Linked DNA regions of Mus musculus. The protein of the gene in region 1 purifies or fractionates together with the protein of each later gene. This does not show direct contact. Links are inferred from orthologs where the notes say so. Each region holds a gene or a part of one and is shown in the gene's direction. Other genes may lie near its edges. The genes, in order: Gba and Canx.

Region 1 (4,540 bases):
AAGCATAAAGCTCCTAATGTGTAATTACAGACTTCCCTTGACTTCTCTTGCTAACGCTAGTAATGGTTCTGTGAGACTATGCTGGTGTCTATGTTGGGCAAGTGTGGAAACAGGCTCAGACTTCCCTTGACTTCTCTTGCTAACGCTAGTAATGGTTCTGTGAGACTATGCTGGTGTCTATGTTGGGCAAGTGTGGAAACAGGCTCAGAGACCTGGACTTAGTCAGATCACGCTGCATGTGTCACTGCCAATTAATCAACTTTATTGTGGCTCACAAGGAAACCCGGACGACAGCCCTCTTCTTGTGTCCACCAAAGACAGACAGCATTTTCCAGTTTCCTGGGAGGAAGGATGAAGAGCTTTCCAGCCAGCATCTGATGATAAAGCAAGAGAATCCAGAAACGGCCAGTGGGGACCACTCCCTCCCTTGGTCCTGATCTCCAGAGCCCGACAGCAACTCCCTGCACTTACTGTGACTCCCCCCCCCCCCCCCCCCCGCCTGTTCTTCTGGGAAGGGTCCCCTTTCCTCTCAAGGAGTCTTGCAAGTATACCTCTCAACATTTCTGTCTGTCTTCGCCTGTAACTCCGTGTAAGTGTCTGACTCATGTGTCTCACTAGTCTTTTTAGGATAAAGATTGTGTGTATGTGGGGTTTGTTGTTGTTTTTCGAGATAGGGTTTCCCTGTGTAACAGGACTGGCTGTCCTGGAAATTGCCCCATAGACCAGGCTGGCCTTGAACTCACAGGGATCCGCCTGCCTTTTCCTCCCAAGTGCTGGATTTAAAGGCATGTGCCACCAATTCCAGGCTGTATGTGGGGTTTCTAAATTTTGTTTTTATTTATTTTTATTTTTTTAAAAGATTTTATTTGGGGTTGGAGAGATGGCTCAGTGGTTAAGAGCAGTGACTGCTCTTCCAGAGGTCTGGAGTGTCTGAAGACAGCTTACATATAATAAATAAATAAATATTTTCTTTAAAATATTTATTTATTTATTTTTTATATATATGACGAGTACCCTGTAGCTGTCTTCAGACACCAGAAGAAGGCGTCAGATCCCATTACAGATGGTTGTGAGCCACCATGTGGTTGCTGGGAATTGAACTCAGGACCTCTGGAAGAGCAGTCAGTGCTCTTAACCGCTGAGCTATCTCTCCAGCCCCTTGTTTTTATTTTTAAATTTTATTTTTAAATTATGTATATCTGTGTGTCGGTATGTGCATGTGAATACAGTGGCCCTCACAGGCTAGAAGTCCTCTCTGTCTTGGATTTAGGAGCCTCTACTCAGCTGTCCATACAATCCTTGTTAGAATTCTCTTCCTAAAGGTGTCATCCTTTAGGCCTCCCCAAAATTCACAGGGTATGCAATGAATGACTAACCTAGAAGAGCCCAACTGCCCATTACAAATATGGCTTCGATTGCTTCACTTCCTGCATCACGTGACCGGCTTAGTCATCATGTGACTCTGTCCGCCCCTTTAAGCCGGAAGGAACTTGCTGTGCTAGTCGGTTCCAAGAGCTATGATATCTGTCTGTGTTTTATTTGGTAGGTCTTCTATCCCTCCAAGGCACAGAAACTTCCACAGTCTTCTCATTCGCTGGTCCTGAGTAGCTCCAGTTTCCAAGATCTTCTGGAGAGGTAAGCGGGCAGGGCTACAATTTGCCTTGTCAATCTTGCTTCGGGAATTCTGCCTATCTAGATTATGGAATTCGGTGAGTTCAATTTTTTTTTTTTTAAATTCAGGGCATCATGGCTCTTTGAGGGCACAGATGGAGGGAGGGCTGAAGGTTGAAATCGATGGGGGAAAAGAGTGAAGAGAGTCTTCTTTGGAGTGGGCAGCAAACTCCCTAGCAGAGTGAATGAATGCAGGACGCCTCCAGGGTCTACGGGCACTGTCTAATCACTAATAAAGGTGGGAGCCTATGCTGTGAGCATCCACAGGCAGCTAAACTCTGGCCAGGAGGGTGGTTGCAGGGTAGAGAGAGTCTTACACTATTATCTTTCCTCTACATTTTCTTCTCAGAAGTGTGCTGGTGTCATGGCTGCCAGGCTCATCGGATTCTTCCTATTTCAGGCGGTATCTTGGGCATATGGTGAGTCTAGGATGGAGATGGAGGCATGAAGGTGTCCCCTGCCCCCAAAGTCCTCTGGTAGCCTTCCATTATGGTGCTGAAATTTCAGTAGGGACTCTGTAACTCTTTTAGAATGCCTGAGACATCTTTGGGCTGGGAGTATGGTGGAAGGATTTTTTTAAAAAAATATTTATTTATTTATTATATGTAAGTACACTGTAGCTGTCTTCAGACACACCAGAAGAGGGCGTCAGATCTCGTTACAGATGGTTGTGAGCCACCATGTGGTTACTGGGATTTGAACTCCAGACCTTTGGAAGAGCAGTCGGGTGCTCTTACCCACTGAGCCATCTCACCAGCCCGGATTTTTTTTTTTTTAATTGTTGTTCTGTCTCGTACCTAGCATGCCCACTCCCTCATAAACCCGCTTTGATGCCTGCCTCTGCTTGTGCCCTGCCTCCTAGGTGCCCAACCCTGCATCCCCAAAAGCTTTGGCTACAGCTCAGTGGTCTGTGTCTGTAATGCATCGTACTGTGACTCTCTTGACCCCGTGACCTTACCGGCTCTGGGTACCTTCAGCCGTTACGAGAGCACTCGACGTGGACGTCGGATGGAGCTGAGTGTCGGGGCCATCCAGGCCAATCGCACTGGCACAGGTAGCCACTTTATCTGTCCCTCTAAGCCTGGACCCAAAGTCACACCAGTGATCAGCATGTCCTCTTCTGGACTCTGACTTTTCCTCTTCTTTTCCCAGGGTTACTACTCACTTTGCAGCCAGAAAAGAAGTTCCAGAAAGTGAAAGGATTTGGAGGCGCCATGACAGACGCCACTGCGCTCAACATCCTTGCTTTGTCCCCACCTACTCAGAAGCTGCTACTCAGATCCTACTTCTCTACCAACGGTGAGGAGGGCAGAGCAAGGTGGTACACTGTAACTTATGCCCCTTTTCATACCCTGGCTTTATTTTATTTTTAAATTTTTTATTACATTTCATTATCTCTTGTGTGTGCTGTGCATGAGTGAGGGGGAGGTCAGAGGACAATTTTCGGGTGTCCACTGTCCACCATGGGACCCATGGGCTAGAGTCGGGGGTCTTCCCACGGAGCTGTCTTGCCAGGCTTTTTGCTCTTGCTTCCATACTTTTCCCGGACATTTGCCTCCCTTCCTTTTCTTCTCTCCTCGCCTCTGTAATGCTCCTGGAGTAGACCTCATGTGTTCCAGACAAATCTACTGTGTAGTCAGTGATGGCTGAACTCCTGCCTCTCGTCTCCTGAGTGTTGGAATTACAGGTGTGCATTAGCAAGCCCAGTTCACACAGTGTTGGAGCTCAAACTTAGGGCGCCATGCATCCTTGGCAGGCATTCTGCCACCTGAACTACATCCCCAGCCTGCCTCTCAGTTCTTACTCTTTCCCTTTGTCCCATCCCTACCTTGCTTTACCAGGCTTGCCTCGAACACTGTAGCCATGACTAGCCTCGAACTCTTTTCTGACTTAGTTTTCCAAGTGCTGGAATTACAAGTATTATGCCACCAAGTGTACCAGGCCGATGGTTCCTGACTCAGTGCCACTGAAATACGATCACCTTTTTCAATATTCTGCTAAGTACTTAGGAAATACATGTGCAGAGGGGCTTCGGTTTCACTTAGGTTCTGGTCTCCACAAGCCCACACCTAGACCCTGGCTCTGAATGAGGGCCTATTGAGGACTAATAACTGATTAAAGCCAATTTTCATACTCACCTTGTTTTATTTTATTTTATCTTATCTTATTTTGAGACAGGGTCTTGCCTTGTAGCCCTGGCTGGCCTGCTCACATTGATCTGGCTGCCTCAGCCTCAGGAGGAATGGGATCACAGGCATGGTACACTTGGCTCCATAGTCTCCTATTGATTCAGATCTCCCTATCTTGGCCATCAATTCCTGCAGGAATTGAATATAACATCATCCGGGTACCCATGGCCAGTTGTGACTTCTCCATCCGTGTCTATACCTATGCTGACACCCCTAACGACTTCCAGTTATCCAACTTCAGCCTCCCAGAAGAAGACACCAAGCTCAAGGTGGGCATTCTAGTTGCCTCAGCCCTATTGGATTGCCGTCTTGGGGCTGGGAAGGTCCAGGTTAGAGCTGTCTCTAGAGCAACATGGAACATTCTGCAGCCTATTTGACTTGGGGGTAAGAGGGTGGGGGCTGATGGTTGGACCTGATGCACTGGTAGAACTAGTATGTGTTCCAGCTCTGGGTGTCTCTCTCTTCACTGTTTGTCTCCAGATACCCCTGATTCACCAAGCCCTGAAGATGTCCTCACGCCCCATTTCACTCTTTGCCAGTCCCTGGACATCACCCACTTGGCTCAAGACCAATGGAAGAGTGAATGGGAAGGGGTCGCTCAAGGGTCAGCCAGGGGATATCTTTCACCAGACCTGGGCCAATTACTTTGTCAAGTAAGGGATCGTCAGGGCCCTGGGATC
Region 2 (3,812 bases), on another chromosome or scaffold:
CTGGGTTTGTAGAAGAGACTACCTTGACTGATTCTCTGGCCTGTGTTGCCATCCCTGGTGTTTTCTGTTTAAGGGATGAAGACGCCCCTTCTAAGATCCCAGATGAAGAGGCCACCAAGCCTGAAGGCTGGCTAGACGACGAACCTGAGTATATTCCAGACCCTGATGCAGAGAAGCCAGAGGATTGGTGAGTTTGAGGTTGCTTTTGTCATTACCTGGTTTTTGTTTTAAAAATTTATTTTTATGTGCTTTGGTGTTTTGCCTTAATGTTTGTCTATGTGTCAACTCACTTGGATTTGGAAGAGAAGCCAGTGTTCTTAACTGCTAAACTGCCCCAATTAAAATCAAGCATTTAATCCCAGCAGAGGCAGGCAGATCTCTGAGATTGAGGCCAACCTGGTCTACAAAGTGAGTTCTGGGACAGCCAAAGCTGTTACACAGAGAAATTCTGTCTTGGGCAAACCAAAATCAATCAATCAATCAATCAATCAATCAATCAATCAAAGCAATAGCTATGTGCCCCTCTCCCCCAACAACAACAACAACAAAAAAGAAGCAAAAGGGGAAAAAAAAAAGCTGGGTATAGTAGTACATGCCTTCATCTCAGCACTCAGAGGCGGGTGGATCACTGAGTTCTAGGACAGCCAGGGCTACCAGAGAAACCCTGTCTGAAAACCTAAAGGGAAAAATAAAAAGCCAACTGCCCAAGTTTGAGTGAAAAACCTTACAAACTTTACTAAATTTCATTGGGTAAAAACAAAGTAGGTAGTTTATGAGAGTGCATTGATAGTGGAAATGAGAAATGAGATATCGTTCTGTCATATGCTGCTGGTATAGCTCCAGAAACATGTTGAGAGCATAAGACTAGTTGTTTGTTTATACCTCCACAGGGATGAGGATATGGACGGAGAATGGGAGGCTCCTCAGATTGCCAACCCCAAGTGTGAGTCAGCCCCTGGGTGTGGTGTCTGGCAGCGACCTATGATTGACAACCCCAATTATAAGGGCAAATGGAAGCCTCCAATGATTGACAACCCTAACTACCAGGTTTGTGTCTCCTGATGGTTTAAGTGTTTTTATTAATTTGTTCGTGTCTGGGCAAAAGCTTGATCAATAGTAAGGCCAGCAAATCAAAAAGAGAAAGTAAACTTAAGAGACAGGTGAATATTGGGCTAAACATAAAACCTAAAAAACAGGAAAGAGGAGTGTTCGAACTTGCTATGTGACTATCTTAGTTTGGGTTTCCATTGCTATGAAGAGAAACACCATGACTAAGACAACTCTTAGAAAGGAAAGTAATTAAGGCTGGCTTACAGTTTTAGAGGTTGATTCCATTGTCATTATATTGGGAAGCATGGCAGCCTGCAGGCAGCAGAAGGGGACTCTGCCATATTGGGCAGAGTTTGAGCATACAAGAACTCAAAGCCTGCCCCAACAGTGACATACTTCCTCCAATAAGGCCACACCTAATAGTGTGACTCCCCATGGTCCAAGCATTGAAACACATGAGTCTATGGAGCCCATTTCTCTTCAAACCATCATAGTGAGCTATATCTAAAAATAAAAGTAGGGTAGAAGAACTTAGGGTGTGGATACCCTATTGTTGAGTGCATAGATTGGCTATAAGGGAACTGTGATGGGAATTGGATCTTGCCAAGTCAGCTAATTGCTTGGTCTCATCAGTTTTCTGCCAAAGATAGGTAGGTACATATGAAGCGGTAGTAATATGTATAGTGAAGCTATGAAGCTCCACTTGTGTTCTGGGAAGGTACCAATGTAGATCCTTCCTGGCTTCAGTTTCTAAACCAAAAAACTATAGTCATAAATTTTCGCTTACACTTTTAGATGTATGGTGCATCTATCTATATGTATATATTTTGTTTGCTTTTCTGTTGTAAAATGTTTTTAGTTGTCCATTTAGATAACTGATCAAACAAAAATTATACTTTAGCTTGCCATTTGACTATCTGAATATGTCTTTGTTACATGCTTGTCATTCTAGCACTTGGTTATCTGCATGAGGACCAGGAGTTGAAATGTCAACTTCAGCTATAACTAAGAAGATCAGGGATAGGTTAAGGCTATCCTGGGTGTATGAATCCCTGTTGAACCAAGCCAAACCAAACCAAACATTTAGCTATTCGGTTGGCCACCACCAATTGTGTTTTGTTGAGGATTAGTATTGAGACTGAATCCAGTGTCTCATGCATATTAGGTGTAAGTGCTGTGTTTCTGGCCTACATCCCTAGCCCATTTTTTAAAATCACTTCTGGGGAATGGGAAATGGCTTTACTGACTACATTCCACCATCACTTGTTGAGGGTGGAGTGAGCTACGCAGGACCAGGTGTTGGTTCAGAATAAGATCCTGCAGATTGGAGACTGAATTTGGTAGAAGTCAAGAATTCAGTATAAAAACATTACTAGCATTTATTGTTCTGTGCTTGTTTAAATTTGGCAGTTAATGTTTATCTTCTTTGATCATATAAAATGAGTCTTACATAGATTTTCTTTTTTTGTTATTATCTGAAATGATGTTTTGAAACTTCTTTTGTCTCTGCCTCACCCCCAACCTACTCCCCTCTCCAAATCACAAACTAGGGAATCTGGAAACCAAGGAAAATACCAAATCCAGATTTCTTTGAAGACCTAGAACCTTTTAAGATGACTCCTTTCAGTGCTATTGGTTTGGAGCTCTGGTCCATGACATCCGACATCTTTTTTGACAACTTTATCATTAGTGGTGACCGAAGAGTAGTTGATGATTGGGCCAATGATGGGTGGGGCCTGAAGAAAGCTGCTGATGGGGCTGCTGAGGTTAGTGATTGTTCATTAATTGTGGATTTATATCCACTTTTGGGGGAGACTGATTACTTTATAAAAAGCAGATTTTTAGTGTTTATCTTTTTACTTATTCAGTGTCAAAATATATAATTGTTAGACTCCTATTCTGGCTTTCCAATCCTGTTATATGTATGTGTATATTTGTATCTGTTTATCATTTTATTTTATTTTATTTTGTCTTCAAGACAGTTTTTCTGTGTAGCCCTAGCTGTCTTAGAACTTGCTCTGTAGACTGGGAGGGCTCAAACTCACAGGGACCTACCTGCCTCTGCCTCCAGTGTTTCAATTAAAGTTATGTGTTATTGCACCTGGCTTAAGTATGTTTTAATGCACTGAAAATGCTGAATCTTGGTTGGAATTGTGTGGAATTTTCAAATAACTAATGGTGTTGTTGAGTTGCGATTTGGATGGCCAGAAAACTGGCAGAAAGATAATTCTTCTGTTTCCTGAGTAAGGAACTTTTTGCAGTTATTACAAGCCACAGTTTGCACCTATGCAGGTGAAACTTCATGATGATAAAAGCAGTAAAGCGGGGGATTTTTTTTTCCCCCTAATTTCTATTTTTTGTTTTGTTTTCTTTTAACTTGGTTTTTCGAGACAAGGTTCCTCTGTGTCTCCCTAGCTGTCCTGGAATTCACTCTGTAGACCAGGCTGGCCTTGAACTCAGAAATCCGCCTGTCTCCTAAGTGCTGGGTTTAAAGGTGTGCGTCACCCACCACTGCTCGGCTTTTCCTAATTTCTTAATGTGCATAGTTTGACTCCTTTGGAAATAAAGGAGTTAGTTGTATGAATATGAAGCAATCAGTCGAGTCTGTATTTGGTGTCATAAACCAGTTCTCTGAATTACTGTTGTTTGGTATTTCAGCCAGGTGTAGTGCTGCAGATGCTGGAGGCAGCTGAAGAGCGTCCATGGCTTTGGGTGGTCTACATTTTGACTGTAGCTTTGCCAGTGTTCCTTGTGATCCTCTT

Evidence for each region.
Region 2: the proteins of Gba (region 1) and Canx purify together in Homo sapiens (affinity purification with mass spectrometry; 3 studies listed by BioGRID and IntAct, with this or other methods). This does not show direct contact. The link is inferred for Mus musculus from reciprocal best matches to the Homo sapiens genes GBA1 and CANX.

Annotation. Positions count from the first base shown.
Region 1 is NC_000069.6:89,201,452-89,205,991, forward strand, and holds the start of Gba (lysosomal acid glucosylceramidase precursor), read left to right. Parts: upstream 1-1,476; 5' UTR 1,477-1,635; intron 1,636-1,740; exon of another isoform or gene 1,741-1,909; intron 1,910-2,020; 5' UTR 2,021-2,035; coding exon 2,036-2,090; intron 2,091-2,533; coding exon 2,534-2,725; intron 2,726-2,823; coding exon 2,824-2,970; intron 2,971-3,995; coding exon 3,996-4,129; intron 4,130-4,340; coding exon 4,341-4,513; intron 4,514-4,540. UniProt on the Homo sapiens protein: Glucosylceramidase that catalyzes, within the lysosomal compartment, the hydrolysis of glucosylceramides/GlcCers (such as beta-D-glucosyl-(1<->1')-N-acylsphing-4-enine) into free ceramides (such as N-acylsphing-4-enine) and glucose.
Region 2 is NC_000077.6:50,298,133-50,301,944, reverse strand, and holds part of Canx (calnexin precursor), read left to right. Parts: intron 1-73; coding exon 74-187; intron 188-890; coding exon 891-1,047; intron 1,048-2,600; coding exon 2,601-2,816; intron 2,817-3,708; coding exon 3,709-3,812. UniProt on the Homo sapiens protein: Calcium-binding protein that interacts with newly synthesized monoglucosylated glycoproteins in the endoplasmic reticulum. It may act in assisting protein assembly and/or in the retention within the ER of unassembled protein subunits.